2 linked regions of the Arabidopsis thaliana genome follow. The protein of the gene in region 1 purifies or fractionates together with the protein of each later gene. This does not show direct contact. Each region holds a gene or a part of one and is shown in the gene's direction. Other genes may lie near its edges. The genes, in order: ERD2 and ARF1.

Evidence for each region.
Region 2: the proteins of ERD2 (region 1) and ARF1 purify together in Arabidopsis thaliana (affinity purification with western blotting, with the first as the bait; one study listed by BioGRID). This does not show direct contact.

The regions. Positions count from the first base shown.
Region 1 is NC_003070.9:10,257,471-10,262,901, reverse strand, and holds ERD2 (ER lumen protein retaining receptor family protein), read left to right. Parts: upstream 1-1,669; 5' UTR 1,670-1,995; coding exon 1,996-2,086; intron 2,087-2,093; exon of another isoform or gene 2,094-2,340; intron 2,341-2,485; coding exon 2,486-2,751; intron 2,752-3,458; coding exon 3,459-3,574; intron 3,575-3,973; coding exon 3,974-4,047; intron 4,048-4,133; coding exon 4,134-4,197; intron 4,198-4,285; coding exon 4,286-4,322; 3' UTR 4,323-4,654; downstream 4,655-5,431. Other genes in the region: AT1G29320 (Transducin/WD40 repeat-like superfamily protein), read right to left, coding at 4,664-4,998, 5,092-5,149, 5,226-5,281, 5,405-5,431. UniProt on the Arabidopsis thaliana protein: Required for the retention of luminal endoplasmic reticulum proteins. Determines the specificity of the luminal ER protein retention system. Also required for normal vesicular traffic through the Golgi. This receptor recognizes H-D-E-L.
Region 2 is NC_003070.9:8,334,685-8,339,384, forward strand, and holds ARF1 (ADP-ribosylation factor 1), read left to right. Parts: upstream 1-1,908; 5' UTR 1,909-2,121; intron 2,122-2,533; 5' UTR 2,534-2,547; coding exon 2,548-2,695; intron 2,696-2,824; coding exon 2,825-2,895; intron 2,896-3,048; coding exon 3,049-3,168; intron 3,169-3,255; coding exon 3,256-3,374; intron 3,375-3,507; coding exon 3,508-3,589; intron 3,590-3,683; coding exon 3,684-3,689; 3' UTR 3,690-4,143; downstream 4,144-4,700. Other genes in the region: CSLA03 (cellulose synthase-like A3), read left to right, coding at 36-288, 372-619, 704-1,017, 1,104-1,298, 1,384-1,546. UniProt on the Arabidopsis thaliana protein: GTP-binding protein involved in protein trafficking; may modulate vesicle budding and uncoating within the Golgi apparatus.

The DNA.
Region 1 (5,431 bases):
ATTATCAGACAATAAACATCTCTTTGCTCTAAGAAGAAACCTATGCTAGTGAAGCGTTGACTCTGGAAAGATGCAAGTGCAACGTGTCGCTGAAACATTGAAGGCGCGTGTAGAAAAATGTTAAGCTAAAGGGAAGTTCACTTTCTTTAACCAAGTTTTGCGTTTTGCAAATTACAACTAAAGAATCCACTAAAGCTAACCCAACTAAATTCAAACATTTTTCTATGTGATCAGTTTACCATCAAACTATTTCATATTTTTGCAATGTGTAGTAAAAACTTTCTTTGTTACATTATATGCTTCTTTTATAAGCAAAAATACCATATTACATTACATGTTCATTTCATTTTTGTTTGGTATTTGCGCTTACAATTTACAAAATGATTTTGTTTGATACTATTTACATTTACATGTGAAATTATTGTGTTCATCGTAAAACGTTCAAAATTTCTAAAAATTGTAAGAAATTATTGTAAATGTAAACAAAGTCGGTTTCCTATAAAACCACACGTCTGAACCACCTTAATCATCATCACAACATGAAATTACAAAAGCAGCGACTTTGTCGATTGCCGTAGTTTCATTGTAGCATAGATAATCCCGTCACGTGATGTTATCTATTTTTAACTGTTTCAATGTAGTCAGAAAAGCTATTTGTTTGATTTCAGAACTGTTTGATTAGTGGCCATTGAAAAATTCTATAATCTATAGTCAATAGTCTATACACAATTGAAAATGGTATAGTTGATTTTTTAAAATACGCCATTAAATAAAATTATATATAGAACTTCTCTATAATCGATAAAGTCGAACACTCCAGGCAACAAGCGGACCGACCACGGAGTCTAACGTAAGAGTATTATTAGTGATACTGTAGGTTTTCTTTGACTAACGATAAAGAAAAAACAAACATGTTTAATTTCTCGTGTCCTCTATATTCATGAGTCATGACGTTCATACAATTTATTCTTGTTTTAAATGACGTTCATACATCATTTTCATGGTTGTCTATTAGTTCACTAGAAAAACGAAGTCTTGAACGTTGAAGCGAAGCATTGAATATCATTTTATAATTTTATGGACTAAACTATACATTTCAATCATCTTTGCAAAAAAGAAAAAAAAAAATGAGTTAGATCATAAGGAGTCAGGACAACAGCTAGCACAAAAATCTCAAAATCCTATACTGTTTAACCCAAAACAACCGTAGAACAAATATTATTATACACCCAAAAAAAAAAACATATTTGCAATCACATTAGTTTGTAAACACTTCTATTTCGTTCCATAACCAAAAAAAAAAAAAAAAAAAAATCAACATTCAATTTTTTATTTTAAAACATGTTTGCATATGTTCATGGTATGACATTGGGTATTAATCTATCACAGAGAGCTAAAGCCCATATAAATAATAACAGAAGGCCCATATCTATTAATAACCAACTCTTAACCGGTCCATTCTAACTGTTTTTCTCAAATACAAAACACGTGGATAACACGAGGAATTAAAATTGAAGTTAAACACCACACCATGTCGCGTACGAAGCTGCCACATCACTGTTCTATTAACACGTGGCTTAATATGATGCAATATAGACCCACCGATAGCTGGCGCTTTCTAGTTTACCAAGGTGCGACGTACCAGATAACACCACCTCTCCACTTTTGAAAATTAAAACGCTCTCTTTTGGTAATTATTTAGGGAAACTTCGATAATTAATCGAATAATGAAGGACTAATTTGCAGTTTTAAGGAAATAAGTAAGCACACACGTTAGAGAAGAAAGACCGTTCCAGATTGCCACGTCATCGTCTCCTCTCAACGAGTTTCTGCAAAACCTGAAACGTGCTGCACCTTGCCTCTCTTTCTCTCTCTTCCTTCGTTTCTCTCTCGATTTGAAGAGAGAAAATTCGTTCGATTTCGTTTTCTCTTCTTCTTTTGGATTTTCCCGGAAAATTTTGGAATCGGTGAGTCTCTATCGATTACTGGTCAACCATGAATATCTTTAGATTTGCTGGCGATATGAGTCACTTGATCAGTGTCTTAATCCTTCTTCTCAAAATCTACGCGACGAAATCTTGCGCTGGTGAGTTCTCTCTCTCTCTCTCTCTTTCATGAAATGTGTTGTGTATATTTTGAAGACGAGCTCGTAGACGAAACAATCGCATTTTGCTTTGACCTTTTGTTTTCCTTTCCATAGCTTTCAAATGCAATCTTATTTGAATCCTGTTGAGGTCTATTTATCGATTTCGAGGCGAATCCGAGTTGGTAGATTGAAATTGCAAGTCAAAATAGTTGTGAAATCTCAATCTTCGAAACCACTATGGAATTTCTAAACGAGTGAGATCTCTCACCCCTAAATTGCATTAGGTTTAACGGAAAATTGCTACACGGAATGGAAAATGCTTGTAGATGCTCATGATTTTCTCATAGATTGTGCAGCTCCTAACATTGTTGCTGTTGACTTTTGGATTTTGTTGGCTAGGAATCTCTCTCAAGACTCAAGAGCTCTATGCGCTTGTGTTCTTGACTCGGTACTTGGATCTGTTTACGGATTATGTATCTCTGTACAACAGCATCATGAAGATTGTCTTCATTGCCAGCTCTTTGGCTATCGTTTGGTGTATGCGTAGGCATCCACTTGTGAGGAGGTCATACGATAAGGACCTGGACACATTTCGTCATCAGTATGTTGTGTTAGCGTGTTTTGTACTGGGACTTATCCTGAATGAAAAATTCACAGTTCAAGAGGTATTTTCATATGAATTTCACATTGCTTTTGTGTTTTTAGGTTGTAGAGACTAGGAAAGCGAATACTTGTTGTTAGAAGACATGCATATGTTGTGTAATCTTGTTTTTGGTTTATTTATTCATTTGATTCATTCGGTTCCTTCTTCTTATATCATTTGGATTTGGTAACTATCTTGGCTAGTGTAGAATAGAATATCGTCTATGTAAATGAAACTGAACATAACTCCTTCCAGAACCAATTAGGAGTCCGGCGTTTATAGTTTTATTTTTGCTTGTTTAAACGTTGTACTACCTATGTAGCCTCTCACTCGCTGATTGTTTTGAGAAACTCTTTGAATATCAAACTGTTGCATCGTGAAAGGTTTGTTTGCTTCCATTCATGGAATCTTCTGTGTCCTACCTACCTATGTTCCATAAGGTGCCCCATGGATTAGTGTCATCTGTATCTCGCTGTTACTTTTCTGGCCATTGTGTTCTTTGATTATCTTGTCATAAGAAACTGTAGTGACTCCTTATATGCACTTCACTAAGATCGTTTTCCCTTACTACCTTCATATGTATTTTTCCAGTATATGCTCTTGGTAAAGATCTGATCTTTGCAAACTGCCTTCACTCTTTAAGTATTTTTGCAGCATTGTGGCCTCTCTGTGTTGATAGCCAGAATCATTGTGCAATATGTTAATTCTGTGCATTCCAAACCATTTCAGGTGTTCTGGGCGTTTTCTATCTACTTAGAGGCAGTTGCTATCCTTCCCCAGTTGGTTCTGCTACAAAGAAGTGGGAATGTCGACAATTTGACTGGGCAATATGTTGTCTTTCTCGGGTACGTAATTCTAACCAGACATATGCGTTTGCTCACTTGATCTCCACTGGCTTCTCTGTTGGGTTTGTTTTTAGAATTGGTTTATCTTATATATATACTGTGTCTTTCACTGCTCATGCACTTGTTAACTTGATCAATGAGAATCGCTCTCCAGTGTCATTGTGGTGTTTAAAAATCAGTGCATATTTCTAAAGTCCAGACATTGTTTTCCGTTTAATGTTAATGCGTCTGGAAGCTGAGCTGAACTATATTTTTTTCTATAAAGGAAATCAGACTGCTTTACATCTTGCTATGCATTTGGTTCTGATGCATACCTTTGTGTCCAGTGCACAATATTTCAATGTGCAAAATTGAGTAAGTATTCTGTATGCACTCACATGGGCAATGATTAACATGCAGGGCGTATCGGGGACTCTATATTATCAACTGGATCTATCGCTATTTCACAGAAGATCATTTCACTAGATGGATTGGTAATGTTTCAACAAAGAAGCACTAAATGCATTTTAACCATTTGTTTTTCCTCAATGCTAATGTTTTACGTAAATCCATTTTCCAGCTTGTGTGTCTGGTCTTGTCCAAACAGCTCTCTATGCGGATTTCTTCTACTACTACTACATAAGGTAAAGTAACCTCACCAGTCTGAATAATATTCTCTTTATAGTTACTGATCATGTTACTGACTTTGGATCCTTTTTGATTTTGTTGTAGCTGGAAAACCAACACCAAACTTAAGCTTCCGGCTTGAAAAGAACCCGAATTTTTTTGCAATAGTATCAAAATCCAGGAAGTTACAGCAATGGTGACATTAGAAAAGAAAGACATGGTTAACATTTGGGTCCTCCCTCTTTCTAACAATGAGTTGAAAATTGAATGATGCAGGATTGTTGTTTAAAATGTGTTTTTTTTTTAGTCTTTAATGCACATTGTAACTTTCCCGACGATTTTAGACATTGAGAAGAGGCATCGTTTTATCAAAACTAGTCTTTATAGATAACACACAAACTCTGTTTCTTTTGTGCGAGTGTTTAGTTCAAAACTGTAGCTCAGATCAGAGCCAAGTTAACAATGTGTCTTCAAAACTTAAACCTAGTCTTCTTGATTGTGTTTCACTATCTTGGTCTTCTTCTTGTGCTCTCGTGTCTTCTTGCTTCTTAGCTCGTCTTTCTCTTCACCTTCAGAGACTTTTTCTCTACTGCGTTTCTCTTTCTTTGACTTTTTTGTTTTGACCGGAGCCTTCTCAATCTCGTCTTCATTCTCCTCATCGTCTTCACCCTCAAAGACTATTTCTCTACTGCGTTTCTCTTTCTTTGACTTCTTTCTTTTCACAGGAGCCTTCTCTGTTTCATCATCTTCCTGGTCCATGATCGTCATCTTCTCCTCTGTGGCAGCCTCAGCCACTGTGTTTGCTACAGCTGTCTCTGCTTCAACCATGAATCCAATCATTTTACAAACATACTAACAGAGGAATACAAACATAGATGCGATTTGTGAACGGCATTAGAAAACAAACAAACCTTCTCCAGAAAAGCCCGAGTCGAATACAAGACCTGTAAGATGCTGCTTCAAGAAAACCTGCAATAAAACAATGATATATAAGTAAGACTCAACTTCACCAAAAAAATACTAGTCCAAAGGTTGAAGAGCATACCGCAGAAATGAGCTGGCGTGTCTTAACGTCATAAACACGTAAATATCGGTCCAGCCCTAGACAATTCAATTAAAAGAAAAACAGATGAAATTGTTGAACAATTAAATAAAACAACACAAATGAGATTGTTGTTACGGGTTACGGCATATGGACGTTGAAGTTGTGATAATGAATCTTACCGCAAGAAGCTATCACTTGATGCTGTG
Region 2 (4,700 bases), 1.9 Mb from region 1:
CGTTTTTGACATATGAAATGATTTGGAAAAGACAGGAATTGGTGAATGCGGAATGTGATAAATGGGCGAGGAAAGGTATAAACATAATGTCAGAGATTAGAGACAACAGAATTGGATACAAAGCAGGAGCATTAAAGGCAGGAATGATGCACAACTATGTGAAACAATGCGAATTCGTCGCCATTTTCGATGCTGATTTTCAGCCTGATCCTGACTTTCTTGAACGAACCATTCCTTTTCTTATTCACAACCATGAAATCTCTCTTGTTCAATGCCGTTGGAAGTTTGGTAAAGTCATATCTTTTTTGAAAAATAATAGTTATTATTTTGTTAAGTCAAATTGGCTAATGGAGAGAATGTGTTACATGTAGTGAATGCAAACGAGTGCTTAATGACAAGAATGCAAGAGATGTCACTAAACTACCATTTTGTGGCTGAGCAAGAATCTGGATCTTCAATACATGCTTTCTTTGGATTCAATGGAACCGCGGGTGTATGGAGAATCGCAGCTTTAAACGAAGCTGGAGGATGGAAAGATCGAACAACCGTAGAAGATATGGATTTAGCAGTAAGAGCTTGTCTTCATGGTTGGAAATTTGTCTATGTCCATGACGTCGAGGTACTACTACTATAACCCTTTTAAACTCAAGCAAAACATAACAAGATTTCATTCAAGACATTATTAAGTAATCTAACATTTCAGGTGAAAAATGAATTGCCAAGTACATTCAAAGCATACAGGTTTCAGCAACATAGATGGTCTTGTGGACCAGCTAATCTATGGAGGAAGATGACAATGGAAATCTTACAGAACAAGAAAGTGTCGGCCTGGAAGAAATTGTATCTCATATACAATTTCTTCTTCATAAGGAAGATTGTAGTACACATCTTCACATTTGTCTTCTACTGTCTGATATTACCAACAACTGTGCTATTCCCTGAGCTCCAAGTTCCTAAATGGGCAACTGTTTATTTTCCTACTACAATCACTATCCTTAACGCAATCGCTACACCTCGGTAACAACATCTCTACTGTTCAAGTAAAACTCTGTTTTCTCATTTCCTAGTATGATAAAAAGTTTGACATATATTGTCTACTGCAGATCACTCCATCTTCTTGTCTTTTGGATCTTATTCGAGAATGTAATGTCGATGCATCGCACAAAAGCGACATTCATCGGGTTACTAGAGGCAGGACGGGTTAACGAATGGGTTGTTACTGAAAAATTAGGTGACACTCTCAAGTCTAAGTTAATAGGTAAAGCTACAACTAAGCTTTATACCAGATTTGGACAAAGGTACTCTTAACTTAAAAACACACACACAATTACAATTTTTAAGCATTTTGAAATGTTGTAACTAATTTTAGTTAACATTTTGCAGACTCAACTGGAGAGAACTCGTTGTTGGATTATATATATTCTTCTGCGGATGTTACGATTTCGCATATGGAGGATCATACTTTTATGTTTATCTGTTTTTACAGTCTTGTGCATTTTTTGTTGCTGGAGTTGGTTATATTGGCACATTTGTTCCAACTGTTTAGATTAGACTTTTGTATTTGAGAGCAAATGTGTTTTTGCTATTTGATTAGACCAAATTAGAGATTGGATCTTGGTTACTTAAACCAAGTTAACTCTTCCAATATTCATACTCAAAATGTAATTTTTTAAATGGTGTTATGATCTTAAAATTTGGTTATCGATCATATTCATACGTAACATTTTATGAATTTGTATTTGCCAATTGTGTTCTAGAAAGAAAATTGAGAGAAACATACAAAAAAAACAAGTCAACGTCAATGATTTAAGATGTTGAAAATGACATGGCGGTTTTGGATTGGTTAGATGCAATCCACGGCCAATGACCCATCACGCATGTAAACCGCGTAAGCACAAGGCCCCTCCACGAAAACATTCGTCGAGGGGTATTCTAGGTATTACCGGTGATAATTTATGTGAATTGACGTTTTTATCCTTTGCCTCTATAAAGATCTTCTTCCGTTTTTGCAATTACGGCGTCGCGCATTTAGCGTTGTTTTGAAGCTCTCTCTTTCAAATTCTGTTCGTCTCTCGCGATCTCTCTCTCTCTCTCAGATAGCTCCGAAACTTTCACGCAGAGGTATTATTGATCTAGATCTGAGCTAAGGCATTCTCAATTTTGATTGTTTCAGTGTGTTCTTAGGTTGGGAATTGAATATTCTTGCTTCGATTTAGGATTTTTCTTATGATGATCCGTTGTATCTTTGGGTAATGCTTTGGATTTCGATGTTTTTGGTTGAAAATTCTGATTTCGATCTGCTGCTGCATCGTTTCAAGTCTGGATCTATGAACATTATCTTCGATTTCACCTTTTTCTCGTTGTAATTGCTTCAATTAGATTCTGAATTCCGCAAGATCTATACGATGAGGTTTTGTAAACGTTGTTGCATCTGTTTCGATCTGCGTTATTCTAATGATTTATAGTCAACATTTGGAGTTCTCGCTGGTGATCTCTCTTTATGTGATATTGATACTCTGTTTCTGTGTGTTAGTTAAGTGAAGCAGGATGGGATTGTCATTCGCCAAGCTTTTTAGCAGGCTTTTTGCCAAGAAGGAGATGAGAATTCTGATGGTTGGTCTTGATGCTGCTGGTAAGACCACCATTTTGTACAAGCTCAAGCTCGGAGAGATTGTAACCACCATTCCCACTATTGGTAAGCTTAAACATCATTTCATAATTCAGTGTTTCAAAAGCTTAGTTCCATCAACTTTGTTCATACCATTCATACAAAATTTTGTCTTCCACCTGCCGTGATGATTAAACTACTACAAACTGTGGACAGGGTTCAATGTGGAGACTGTGGAGTACAAGAACATCAGTTTCACAGTGTGGGATGTCGGCGGTCAGGATAAGGTATAAGATTATCCAACTCTAAAGCATTAAGAATTCTTTTTTTTTTGCATCACTACCTGGGGATCTTTTTCCTACTGTGTCTTGGTATTATTGTTGATGAACATAGAATTACACAAACTCACATGTCGCAAAACCTCCACTTCTTGTTGTCAGATCCGTCCCTTGTGGAGGCATTACTTCCAGAACACCCAAGGTCTTATCTTTGTGGTGGACAGCAATGACAGAGACCGTGTTGTTGAGGCTAGAGATGAATTGCACCGAATGTTGAATGAGGTCTGTATCAAGTGTTATATCTTTGCCTGTTGTATTGAATTCTTCATGTTTAGATGATTCAGTAAACTGTTTGTCGGGGTTTTACAGGACGAGCTGCGTGATGCTGTTCTGCTCGTATTTGCTAACAAGCAGGATCTCCCAAATGCTATGAATGCAGCTGAGATCACGGATAAGCTTGGTCTCCACTCTCTCCGTCAGCGTCACTGGTAAATAAAAACATTATAATCTCCCCTGCTTCCCTCATGTTGATTTGTTCTCCTGCACATAACGTTTCTTATGATATAGTTCCAAAGATTTATCACCTCTCTGATTGATTTTATGTCTACGAACTCTCTCCAGGTACATCCAGAGCACATGTGCCACTTCAGGCGAGGGGCTTTACGAAGGTCTTGACTGGTTGTCCAACAACATTGCCGGCAAGGTAAATTATCACAAACAACAATTTTGATTTGTGGATCAGTATTTTGAAGCAAATCGTGATTCTTGTTTCTGTGTTCTTGTTACTGGTTGTGCAGGCGTAGAGGGAAAGTTCGTGGTGGAGTTGATTTGCTGAGCAAATCTGGATGCAGGGGCAAACATTATCTGAATTTTTTTTTTGGTTTCCGTTTTCGTTATTGTTCTGCTTTTTTTTTTGGGATATGTCGATGGATTTTGTGATTGTACGTAGAACTTAGAAAAAAACTACCTTTTATATAGTTTTGGTAAAACTGTAATCGAAGATTTCACCTACTGCTTTCGTGGTTTTGGTCACATTTTACTTGTGCACTTTGATTCATATGTTGGAATGCGGTTTCGTTGGCACCTGCTACACGAAACTTGATGATTTTGCTAGTATTTGTCATATGAATCAAGTAGAGGAAAGCCATGACCAGTAGGCGAAATGCTAGAGTGTGGCAGAAGAGGAATGAGTAGACAATTTAATCATAAATCCACTTGTTTGAAAAAAAAGTTAACATTCAAAATTCTTTGCTGGCATCCTCTAATCCCTTTAATATTTCCAAATTCTCGCACTTTTTGAACACCACATTCATTTTTGTCAGAATATTGCGTTCTTAATTTGTCTAGAATAAGCACACTAAAACTAATAATTATCTTAACAACCATGGAATAACATAAATTATCTGTTTTTCTTTATAATATTTTTGTAGAATTGTAGGTTAATGAAATGTATAAATTGTGATTCTAAGAGTATATATGAATAGTACAATTGTACGGTTGGAACTATTTTGCGGATTACTGTTCAAAATTAATGTGTTTAAAGGTCACTGATTTACTTTCTTATTCTGCCAGCCATTAAGGGAACGTTAATCATCATTTTGACTAGAGTGATAGTTGCAAGGACGATATTAAATACAGTATTTGATAAGCAATTAAGGAAAATAAAAGAAACAGAAACAGAAACAGAAGATTTGAGTTTATTGAAGAAGGAATTTAGAGTGATTGGAGTTTTAATAAGTTTTGAGATGATTTTGGTGAATTTTGGTGAATTAGGAAATTTGTCACTAAAATTTCCTCAAATCTCACCTAAAACC